3 linked regions of the Danio rerio genome follow. The protein of the gene in region 2 interacts with the protein of the main gene of each other region in a pairwise test. Links are inferred from orthologs where the notes say so. Each region holds a gene or a part of one and is shown on either strand. Other genes may lie near its edges. The genes, in order: pogzb, creb1a and crtc1a.

Region 1 (4,326 bases), on a different chromosome or scaffold from region 2:
GCACTGTGCTGAAAGTACTAGGCGTTTGGGCTCTGTTTACAACCGGAGCTCCAGCCCTTATTTGAGCAGGCTGGGTAATTATTTGGGTTGCTCCGATGGCTGGTTTGAAAATTTGTGTGCCAGGTGCTTAAAAAAGACATAAAGAAAACACTGTTAATTAATGCACAGAACTATAGCGTAAGACCATAACAAGAGCACACTGACATACCCTGGAGTAGAGTAATCGGTCGAACAGTTTGGCCTTGTTGGACATTCAGCACTAAACTCATTGGACCCTGGCCAGGCTGGATATTCTGGACAGGAAGACCCTGTATCAGATGAAAGGACGCACATAGATGAACACTTGTTGAGACAATGTGCTTTTGTTGAGTGATGTGCTGGAATCTATATGGTGAAATGGCAGCACCTGTGTGGTAAAGTAGATCGGCTGACTGTTGGTAACATTGGCAATAGATGTTCCAGGCAGGAGAACCTGTGACAGAGCCACAGTGCCCAGTCCACCTCCTCCTGGTGCCAAGATGACCGGCTGCCCTTGCACTGCTTTAGGGATCTCAGTCGGCACAACCGCACGTTGAGTTACTGAAAAAATAAATGACTGATCACCAAGAGTAATGCAGGCTGAATGTCAACAAGACTGCATCCATCTACTACTTTAGTAGTTGATATGACTTTTGCGCTCCCCTTCTAAGGATATTTACACAACAACAATGTACTGAAAAGTTTCTATTCGCTACAAATTTTGAGAAAATATGAGAAAACATTAGAAAACGGTTTGCAAAAGTTCGAATTTTGATGATTTTAATGATTTTAAAACAATTGCAATAAACACTCGCTGGCCACTTTATTACGTACATCTGTCCAACTGCTCGATAACACAAATTTCTAATCAGCCAATCACATGGCAGAAACTCATTGCATTTAGGCATGTAGACATGGTCAAGACGATCTGCTACACTTCAAACCGAGCATCAGAATGGGGAATAAAAAGGTGAATTTAGTGACTTTGAACGTGTCATGGTTGTTTGTGCCAGACGGGCTGGTCTGAGTATTTTAGAAACTGCTGATCTACCAGGATTTTCACACACAACCATCTTCTGGTGGCTACTTCCAGCAGGATAATGTGCCACGTCATAAAGCGCGAATCATCTCAAACTGAATCCTTGAACAATGAGTTCATTGTACTTAAATGGCCTCCACAGTCACCAGATTTCAATCCAATAGAGCACCTTTGGGATGTGGTGGAACAGGAGATTCGCATCATGAATGTGCAGCCGACAAATCTGCAGCAACTGTGTGATGTTATCATGTCAATATGGACCAAAATCTCTGAGGAATATTTCCAGTACCTTGATGAATCTATGCCATGAAGGATTAAGGCAGTTCTGAGGGCAAAAGGGAGTCCAACTCGGTACTAGTAAGGTGTACCTAATAAAGTGGCAGGTGAGTATATAGCACACAAATCATAAAAAACAATTTTATTCTTCATTTAACTCATAATTAAAAGAATTGTGTTTTTTTGTCATTTGCATTTCTTTAAAACAAGTCTTTTTTGTTGTTATTTTGAAGTGTCTGAACTCTATCCCCAGTTTGCTTCTCTTAAATTAAACAAACAGGTGATTCTTCCTAACTTAATTTGTGTTCTGGAGCATCATGTGAATGAGTAAATAATTATTAAAGAAAAGGAGACTCACTTGTATTTGTGATCAGCGGAACCGTGTTCGCCGCATTTACTACAGACGTTAGGCTTGGGATCACCATGGTCTTAGGCGGAGCTGGAACATCAACCACCGGGGCTGGAGTGGAAGTGACTTAACATTGGAGGACGACAAGTTTCAGATGTTATAATGATGTTAAAATTATTATTAAAGTAAAATATATATATTTCTGGAATATCTATAATTAACAAAAGTTAAGAAGATAATTAAAAACTATGTTAAATTTCTCTATAATTAAAAATATTACAAAAATACACACCGGAGGGAGTACTGCTTTCAGCATTTCCGGCTGGTTCATCCATAGACTGCTGTTGCCATGGCTCCAGCTCCTCCTCCTCACACTCCATAAACAAATCCGAATCCATGTTTCTGAAAGAAAGTAAACGTGTTTAAAATCTACAAACTGTGAGGGTACAAATGACAATTGGTGCATTATGTATTCATAAATCAAAAACATGTTTCATTTTAAATTAGACAAGTGAAAAATATTTTTGAACTGAAGACCCTCACCTTCTGACAGGAATCGGGTCCGACCAGTTTTAACGTCAAGACTGGCGTTTACAAAATCCCTTCATCCTGTAAATTATACAAATAAGTATATGAATAAAACATGAATAGTAGTACATTTTGTATTTATATACATTTAAAACAAACAAAAAAAAATCCTGCATTAATGGGGTTAACATCGGATATTCAGAGCGCTGCCGCATCACTTCCTAAAAATCTCCCAAAAAAGTGTGATTTCATCTAACCGACAGGGGCGAAGAGAAAAGTAGTTCCTGGTCACCGATATGCACTGGCTGAGACCAGATGATCTGACTGATAGAAGCAAAAGCATGAGCCTTGGATGTGTGTACAATAACAGAAAATAGGGCTGAAATACAAACTGGGTCGGAACAGGACTCAGCGCTGTGTCTATCACAAAAACTCAGTCACAAATAATGCAGCAACCCCTCGCGCGTCGCCTACTGAGTGCGCACTCCGCATACTGTCCTCCGCGCACATAACGAAAGACGGCCATCTAACGCGTGAATTAAAGCGCGTATTTGTAAAAAAAATACTTACCAGATTATAGTCTATATAGAAATATATTCAACGTGATATATTGAAAGAACACAAAGCCTGCCGGTACGTCACAGACGAGACGAATAAATGCGCTAAATGGGCAGAGGTTCTGTTTTTTCTCCTGCTGCGATTGGTTGATACGCTCAAAACGCCACTTCCTGTTTTGAATTCGCAACGCTGATTGGCTGTAATCTCTGAAATAAGGAGGAGTGGTTACTGGAACAAGAAAATGGCGTCCTTCTCGACAAACGACAACATTTTATACGGTCTAGCCAACTGCTGGTTTAATAAAGAAATGATTTAATTATTCAACACACTGTTAGTATTTTGAGGAGGACCTGTCAAAACCATCACAAACTGTCTTTTCTTAAATCAATTTATGATTTTGAAAAATTGCTCACACAAAATATCTATTATATAAAATTATTTGCTTAAATATTCATATTTTAGCCCTGGTATGCACAATGCACTGATAAATGAAATAAGTGTAATTTTTTAGAAAACGTTCAGTTTAAAAAAATTCTGGAACCGATCACGACATCCGGTTTCATTATGGCTCTGAACGCGGGTTCATCCGCCAATGTGGACAGAACAGCACACTGCAGAGTTCACCGCACTTTTCAGAACAACCGAGAACACAGCACGAATCAGGCAGGACCACTGGTCCGATTCAAAATCAAACGACTCTTATGACTCGGTTCTTTTAGTGAATCAAAAACATTCAAAAGTTCAGTCCATACACACACAATCGTTTGTTCGACTATATATATATATATATATATATATATATATATATATATATATATATATATATATATATATATATATATATATATATATATATATATATAGTCGAAGTAACGACTGGTTTAAACCGATTGCTTTAGTTAATTGTACATTATGAATCAGAAAGTCTGAAAGTTATCATAAAGACATCGAATGTAAATTAAAGCTGCATTCTTTAATTCAAAATATCCACAGCACAATAGAAGTTTTACCATTTATATAAGTAGAATATGCCCTGAATATCCTACTAAATTTAAGCTACAATCTGACAACTAATCATTTCTTAATTGTGCCGAGATAAACGTTTCATAATAAACGTTTCATAACCAGTCGAAGCGCAGAGCAGGTAAGCTTCTGTTTAAGTTGCTTAAGTCAAGCCCTATATATAGCATTGTGCACAGAGAGGACACAACGTGAGCGTGTTTTCTTCATGTTGTTTACTTCTGCATGCGAGATGAAGGATCCGGGCACATCATCTGACGGAGTGAACTATGGCGCTGTCCTCGCGCTGCTGGTGATCAGTGAGTAACGTTTTTTAGTACTTTCAGAAGTTTTATTATAATCTTATTTTAATATAAAAAATGGGTCTGGTCCCAAAACTTCTACTGCATCACAATTTAAGGCCCTGAAATGTTAATTAATTAATTAAATCTTTAATGGCATTAAATGCATGCACTACAACAATTAATGAATATTTCATTATTTTATATTTAAATCAGTGTTCATTTTATGCAAACCAACTATAGTTTTACATTTATAC
Region 2 (4,364 bases):
GAGAAAACCCACATGAACACGGGGAGAACATGCAAACTTCACACAGAAATGCCATCTGATCCAGCCAAAGCTCGAACCAGCAACTTTCTTGCTGTGAGGTGACAGTGCCAACCAATGAGCCACCGCACCACCCTATTGTGATTTCATGTTCAAGTCATTTTGAACTTGGGTATGCATGGATCACCTTTAGCTGTCAAAAATACTCTCTGTCTGAAACATTTGATGCTACACAAGTGTAAAAACCTTTAATAAATAATTTTATATAATTGCTATACATATTAAAATATATTTATACCACATGAATGACTGACAAACTTAAAAACATCTCTCTTTTTTTCAGAAAGTAAACGTTTATTTAAGTAAAAAAGAAACAATCAGTTATACGTTTTAAATATTTAAATAAAATTATTATTTTTTTAATTGTGTGCTGTTAAAAAATTAGTTTTTAGATTATGTGCTTTTATACATTTTATGAAAGGTAAAACAAATCGACTGTTTCACTTTAAGTGTTGTTCATGTGTAAATTGTAAATTCAAAGAATGTCTTAATTAAATGGTAAAAACACAAACCATTTGAAAACATTTTTGAAATAACTACTATGATTCATTAAATGAGGAATGAATGTTACTGTAATATTTCCGCACTGTTTAATAAATGTTAAGTTAAAAAATATGAAACAGTTTTCTTGCTATAGTAAGTTTATAGACACTTGTGTCCTCATTTTTCATTTTAAACAGATTTTTGCAGAAAAAAAGATGCAGCTTTCGTTAAAACAGGATTATAAATGTGTCATCAAATTTAGAAACATGCAGATACCTGTATGAGGGCCGTCTAGACAGAATCTCTCTCCTTTTCTGAGAATCTGTCACACTGTCCACTGACTCCTGAGAATCATCACTCTCAGCAATAGTAGAAATCTGATACAAAAAGGCATAAATATTCATGCTTTATACACCTGAATCAGTAAACACTTTGTCATCCTAAACTTTGAAGAGATATTTCATCTAAAAATGAAAATTCCATCTTTGCACTAAAATATTTCAATTTGTGTTCCAAAGATAAAAGACGGTCTAAGGAGTTAGGAACAAGATGAGGGTGATTAAAATAATAACAAAATTTGGCTTACTTGTACAGTTTGCACCTGTGGGGATTGTATGACAGAGGGCTGGGCTGCCTGGATGACCCCGTGAACTTGCACTGTTTGCCCATTGGGCAGCTGAACTAAGGTCACTGTGGGTGCAGTTGCTGATGCCTGTGCTGCCGCCATGGAAACCTGCACCAGGGAGGTACAATAAGGTTTAATTAAATAAAAACATCATCCCGGATCTACATGTATAATAACCATAACCCTTGTAATCATAATCAGTCTTGTCATCCTAGCAAACGTTTCCAAAAGCTTTGGAAGCATCTTAATGCCAGAAACTCACTTGTGCCAAGGTGGCAATCTGCTGAGTGTCTGTCTCTGAGACCGCAGTGTCGCCGCCCTGCTGGACATCTGCTCCTGCCTCCATGGTCATCTAGATAGCCTGAAGATGTAATTCAAGAGTCCTTCATTTGTATACTTTGAAAATTATGCAATGAATATATACACAGGGTAGGTTATCAAACTGCCCAAAAAAGGGTATTGTTATGCACCCACGATTATTTTAAAGGTTGACTGCAAAAAAAAAAAAAAACTTCTACCCACAGACTGGGTTTGATATAAAGTCATTACGAACATTTTAAATATAAAATATACATTTATGCATTTTTTTTAAACATACTTAACGTTAAACATGTCAATTTAATGTAAATCCAAAAATAAAATTTAAATGTATTAAATTCTTAAAGGGGTGAAATGTTTCCAGAAATGTATATTTCTTCACGTAAAAAATGGCATTACTAAAGTGAAATATTTGCATTATAATGTATTTTAACAAAAGCAGCCACCAAGCCTCAGCACAAAAATAAGAATATGCATATTTAACAGTAAATATCATTAATATTAGTCTTTTATGGAGCTGTGACTATTTTGTAACAAGTAATCGTGTTAAAAATGAGACCTTAATCATAGTGTGCCACAAACACAAGATGACTCCATTTGCCGCCTTTTTTTTACTTCCGTATGCAGCTGTCAGTCAGATCTGTGTCTTGGTTTTTAAGCATTTATGAACGTGGTAACTTAAAGGAAAATAAAATCGGCATACAGTGCAAGCTAAATCATTTTATTTTTCATGATTTTCCATCTAAGGCCATTTGAGAAATAAAAAACAGCACAATAAATACAAGCGCTTGCATTTTTAGGCGTGTTTCGACTTGTAAAATAGCACTCCACGTTGAATGAATCAAGCATGCGGCACAAAATCACTCTGTTTTATGGTGCACTCAGAATGGAAAAATACTCATGAATCATTTTTTTCTCTATAATTTTATTTACCAGTTAAAACCCACAATTTATGATAAAGAATAGCTGTTTAATGTGGTACAAAACACCATTGCTCGGGCGGGAATACAGTAAAGATCTTTAATGTATCACGGAGAGCTTAGACTGCTCAACAAACCAATGCTGGAGCCAAAAAAGAAAAAAAATCATTTCACGCGCTGGACTTTCATAAAAAGGTGCCATGGACGGGCGGTCACATTCATAACTACGCATCTCTCTCCCATAAACACATGTATTTTGTAGACCCGTCCCGCTTTCCTCCTTCTACAACCTGACTCATTGTCTGCAAGCAAGTCTGAGCTGTGGAGAAACATGCCCACCGCCGCCATGATCTCTTTGTTACAGACGGATCGAGCATTGCGACATGTCCACTAAAACGCCAAGTGTATTATCTCTTTCCCCCACGAATGCGTCTCTTCTTACCCGACACAGACTCGCCTCGTCACTCCCAGGCCTCCGGAGCTCCACTTTTATTTAGTCCGACACGTAAGAGACCGCGTCAGGCTACACCTCCGTCGCGTCACCGAGGACAACAACACAGAGAACGAGGGGGACGAAATACAGCCCTAATTCAGGATCGACAAGATCCGAGAGGTAGGCGGAACTTGCCGAACGTAGCACGAACCTACACGAACAGCCATCGAGCAGAGTCGAATTTACACGAGGTGTCTCTCCGTGACTGTTCACATGAGCATGCGTCAAATCCGTGCGCTACGATTGGCTGACTTTTGTCGTAATGAATATGAATAAATCTGTTCAAATGTACTACAGCAGGGGTTTTCAGCCTTTTAGAAGCCATCGAATCTGAAATTTGACAATTGGAAGAAAAATGATAATTTATAGTATTATTATATAATGTTTTATATAATTGTGTAATTGTTTAATACTTTATTAAAGGACAGTTTTCTTTTTGTTTTCACATAAATTTGTAGAAAAACTCCTGTATATATTTATTTATAATTGTCATTGGTATTATTATTATTAATTTATGATGTATTTCTTGTCATTAAATAATATTTAAATATTATTATTATTTTAAGTATTGATTTGTATATTATATATATACATTTTATCTTATTTTTAGATATTTTTATTTTAGTTTTTAGTTACGAGAACGACAGAGAGACCTTTGTTTTTGCGGCAGACATCTATGGGCGGTGCCAGTCAGTGTGATGTTACGACTGGATAGCTTCAATGCAACGTCACGTCAATGTTCACCAATTAAAATGAATAACTGATGCAGAAGAGCAGAAGTTCACCGCCTTCTTGTCAGGAACCAGGAAATAGTCATGATATTTTGATAGCCAACTCTCACTTGATAATAGTCATTGTGATATACTTAGTTTTCTTATTAGTTTCTTGGTCGGCGGAGTTTGTTGCAGTAATGACATCGTTATTCAAGAAAAAGACCGTAGATGGTAAGTTTCTTGCCGCCGCTTTGAGTGCTTGTTTGTTTGTCAAAGCCGCCCAAGCAACGCTCTCACGTCTATCAAAGACTGCGTTAGCAATTTCTGTCGTTTTATTTAATACATTAAATACGATTTGGGCTGTAGTTTGTACAAAGACGTGTCTTTGAATTGCTGCCATGACGTAAACATTTTACATTTGGCTTCTTTCGCTTGTGTCTTACAAATAATACTTAAGCATGTCGGTTTAAAATAAACTAATCCAGTAACGTTAGCTCTTAAAAGAAATCACTGTCCCTTTACGTTAATCGTTCCTCTGAACCTTGCTATGAAAGTAGTTCCAACACATTAATTTGTTATAACTGACTCAGACATTTTAGCATTATTAATTTATATGGCGATCGATAACTATGTCTCCTTCATTCTACAGATGTCATTAAAGAACAAAACAAAGAGCTGCGAGGAACGCAGAGACAAATTGCCAGAGACCGGACAGCACTGGAAAAACAGGAAAAGCAACTGGTGAGATTCCCCAC
Region 3 (3,653 bases), on a different chromosome or scaffold from region 2:
CAACTAGAACACAAATTAATAAATTACATTTTGGAAGTAACTCACCCAACACTGCCCACAATCACCCATTTCATTTCTAATAAATTCCAAAAACATAAGCATATATCCCAAAGCATTTGACTGGTATTGTATTCGTTATCATTTAGAAAAGGAGTTAACCTCTTAGTGCCCTGTATGCTCTGACTGACAGTTGGCCATACCGAGATCTAAAAAATTCCACTGCAAGTGTTGAGATGTAATCTTACCGTATTGATATCGATGCCCACAGAGGTTTGCGTCTGGCTGGAGGAGACGACTGGCAACGGAGGAAGCCCACCTCCCCCCTGTGTCTGAGTGGACGGCTGGCTAAAGAAAGCATACTGAGCCAACTGCTGCTCCAGGGTCATGGCGTCTATCGTCACTGCCTGTCAAACACAGATTCAGATTGACAGACTATTAACAGCTGAGACAGAAATGCTGCTTTTGTGGAACTAGAGCTGGGTACTGATTCAGAGGACCCGATTCGATTAGATTCTGATTCACAAGCTCTCAATATAATTCTTAATTCGGTACAATAAAATAAAATTGACTCAAATGAAATTGATATTCCTAAAAATTATCCATGAACGCTTTATTTCGATTGCATGACTACTTTAAAACAGGAAACCTCACTTTCACATGAATCGAATAAGCAGTCATGATATAAAATGGTCAAAGAACATTTGAACAAAATGAGGTGATCGAGCGTTTGCTGTTGCTGGTCCTAAACTCTGGAACAGTCTCCCGATTCACATTAGACTTTCCCCCTCCATCTCTGTGTTTAAGTCTGTTTTAAAGACCTATCTATTTTCTCTCGCTTTTAATACTCCTTGATCACTGTTTTATTGCTCTTATCTGTTAAATGCTTATTTTATATTCTGCTTTTTAGCACTCCTATGTACAGCACTTTGGTCACCTTGGTTATTTTTAAATGTGCTCTATAAATAAATATTGTATTGTATTGTAAAGAAAATGGGCTCCTATTGACAGTTTTCACATGACGTCACACAATTAAGGGAACGCCACCCTGGTGGGCAAAAAATACTGTCTTTCACTGACTGTAAAATCATGTGCTTACCCAAAAAGCAGAATAATTGTAGTGCAATAACATAAAACATTACTAACCGATGAGGAGACATGTCTGGGCTGTGCTTCTTCAGAAATTCCTTCATAGAAAGAACATTTTTTAAGCAAAGTTATTGATTTGTGCCTAATGGTAGCATCATTGACCCATAGCATGGTACCAATAACTGTCAGTAGATTTATAACACACAGTTTAAACAGTTTCTATTCTAACTTGCAGGTTAAGTGCAATTTAAGTTTAACACCGTCACCAATGACTAAATTGCTGAGGAAAATCCAAAACATACATACAGATATTGCTGAATAGTAGCTCTGATGATTTTAAATTGACTGAAAATGGCTGCGGGTACATTTTGGATCGCCCAAAATGTAGAGTTTGTGATCATATCTCTATTTTGTTCTCTTAATATGCGAGCCGAATATTCGTAGCTTAAAACAGATAAAAATATCTAAAAGTTTCTATGGAATCCCAATGAAGCTGCCATTACAGCCAACTGTCTTTTGCCCGCCAGGTCTCCATACAGGTCACATGACTGAAAACTATCAATTGTGATGCACACATTTCCTAACATAAAAGCCAGGCCCATCAGGGGAAAAAACAATCCAACCCTCTCCATTGACTTTCTATTAAAGGAAGCTGCCTCCTTGTCATTTCTGACTTTTAATATAAAACTGAACAGGATCTAAAATCTGCTATGTAACAAGACATACAGTAAACAAGTTAAAAGAAACTAAAACTATGCTTTATCAGAATGTGGAACAAAGGTGATTTAAGTGACTTTAAACTTGGCATGGTTGTTGGTGCCAGACGGTCTGGTCTGAGTATTTTAGAAACTGCTGATCTACTGGGATTTTTATGCACAACCATCTCTAGGATTTACAGAGAATAGTCCGAAAAAGAGAAAATATCGAGTGAGCGGCAGTCGACTCTAAATAATGTGTGTTTAAGGACACAAAAGTGGATGCAGGTAATAAAGTAAAATAAGATGTAGCTTACTATTATGGCAGTATTCAAAAGCCTCATTCACACTATGAGCGGCGAGCAACCGTTTATTTCAATGGAGAGTGAGCGACTTCCAGCGACCTCTGTTCATGTTAGTGTCAGCGACCGTTGGCGACGAAGTGGGTGTGTCGAACGATGCAACAAAGTTGAGAATTCTTTACATTTTTGCAAATGAAGAACAACTTTCATTGAGCAACAGTCAATGAGAGCACCATTAGAGCTCATGTGATCCTCTCTCAGCTCGCTGAGAGGCCGATATTATTCTCTGTGCTGAAGACCTACAAAGACCTGCGTTTGCAGCAGGTCACCACCCAGAGCGACAGGCAGTTACAAAGTTGCTGCTAATGTGATTGAGGCTTTAAGCAGATATGCAATAGTATTATATTAGCAGGTTCTGTAGCTATTACAGCCGTGTGTTACAATGAAAATCTATATAATCTAGTTTCAAATAAACAATAATGTACAGTGGAAGTCAGAATTATTAGCCCCCCCCCGAATTATTTACCCCCTGTTTATTTTTTTCCCCATTTTCTGTTTAACGGAGGGAAGATTTTTTCAACACATTTCTAAACATAATAGTTTCAATAACTAATTTCTAATGATGGACTTATTTTATTATTTCCATGATGACAGTAAATAATATTTTATTAGATATTTTTCATGACACTTCTATACAGCTTAAAGAGACATTTAAAGGATTAACTAGGTTAATTAGGTTAACTAGGCAGTTTAGGGTGATTAGGCAAGTTATTGTATATCGATGGTTTGGACTACAGAAAAAAAATAGCTTAAAGTGGCTAATAATTTCGACCTTAAAATGTTTTTTAAAAAATTGAAAACTGCTTTTATTCTAACCAAAATAAATCAAATAAAACTTTCTCCAGAAGAAAAAATATTATCAAACATACTGTGAAAATGTCCTTGCTCTGTTAAACATAATTTGGGAAAATTAAAAAAAAATAAAAATAAATTCAAAGGGGGCTAATAATTCTGACTTCAACTGTATATAACTAAAGTTATATACAAATTATATTCTTTGGTTCTTTAGAAATACAAATTAATTCAAAACTCTAGCCGGTATATTTTAACCTATTGTCAATAAGCATTTCCTGACTATCGGGCAGGGTCTCAAACGGCTAACTGGATTAACACCTATGCATCTGAATGTGTACTATTTTGTTGATGAGATTAGAGCTGGAAAAACGCAGTTTACCTGGCTGACTCCTGTACTTCCTTTGCATACTTTGTTTAGATTTGACTCCACCTCTATGTTTCACTGCCCCCCCAAAATGTATTTAAACTGAGTGCAAAGCTGCACTAGTTTAAGTTTTTGATCAACAACACAGCAACTGTGAGTTCTCATTAAAGGATTCTGCTTTGAAGATACCTGAAATATCTACTTCTTCAATTCACAACATAAAAAAAAAAACATTCAAATAATTTTTATTAAAGTATTTTTATGACGCCGTTGGATCATTTGTCAAACAAAAGGAAGCTAAGAACTGCCATAGACCAATACAGTTCAATCTCTCTATATATCTCCTCATCT

What was found.
Region 1: the proteins of creb1a (region 2) and pogzb interact in a two-hybrid assay, tested with the Homo sapiens proteins (2 studies listed by BioGRID and IntAct). The link is inferred for Danio rerio from reciprocal best matches to the Homo sapiens genes CREB1 and POGZ.
Region 3: the proteins of creb1a (region 2) and crtc1a interact in binary tests that used the Homo sapiens proteins (3 or more experiments, as listed by UniProt). The link is inferred for Danio rerio from reciprocal best matches to the Homo sapiens genes CREB1 and CRTC1.

What each region holds. Positions count from the first base shown.
Region 1 is NC_133191.1:42,522,823-42,527,148, reverse strand, and holds the start of pogzb (uncharacterized protein LOC561483), read right to left. Parts: upstream 2,842-4,326; 5' UTR 2,781-2,841; exon of another isoform or gene 2,468-2,780; intron 2,292-2,467; 5' UTR 2,226-2,291; intron 2,085-2,225; 5' UTR 2,081-2,084; coding exon 1,975-2,080; intron 1,809-1,974; coding exon 1,692-1,808; intron 580-1,691; coding exon 407-579; intron 309-406; coding exon 209-308; intron 127-208; coding exon 1-126. Other genes in the region: si:dkey-23o4.6 (retinol dehydrogenase 12), read left to right, coding at 3,997-4,087. UniProt on the Homo sapiens protein: Plays a role in mitotic cell cycle progression and is involved in kinetochore assembly and mitotic sister chromatid cohesion.
Region 2 is NC_133176.1:37,068,623-37,072,986, forward strand, and holds the start of creb1a (cyclic AMP-responsive element-binding protein 1a), read right to left. Parts: upstream 2,954-4,364; 5' UTR 2,846-2,953; intron 1,527-2,845; 5' UTR 1,518-1,526; coding exon 1,428-1,517; intron 1,274-1,427; coding exon 1,127-1,273; intron 918-1,126; coding exon 817-917; intron 1-816. Other genes in the region: chmp2bb (charged multivesicular body protein 2b), read left to right, coding at 3,807-3,840, 4,259-4,350.
Region 3 is NC_133177.1:27,921,084-27,924,736, forward strand, and holds part of crtc1a (uncharacterized protein), read right to left. Parts: intron 405-3,653; coding exon 246-404; intron 1-245. UniProt on the Homo sapiens protein: Transcriptional coactivator for CREB1 which activates transcription through both consensus and variant cAMP response element (CRE) sites.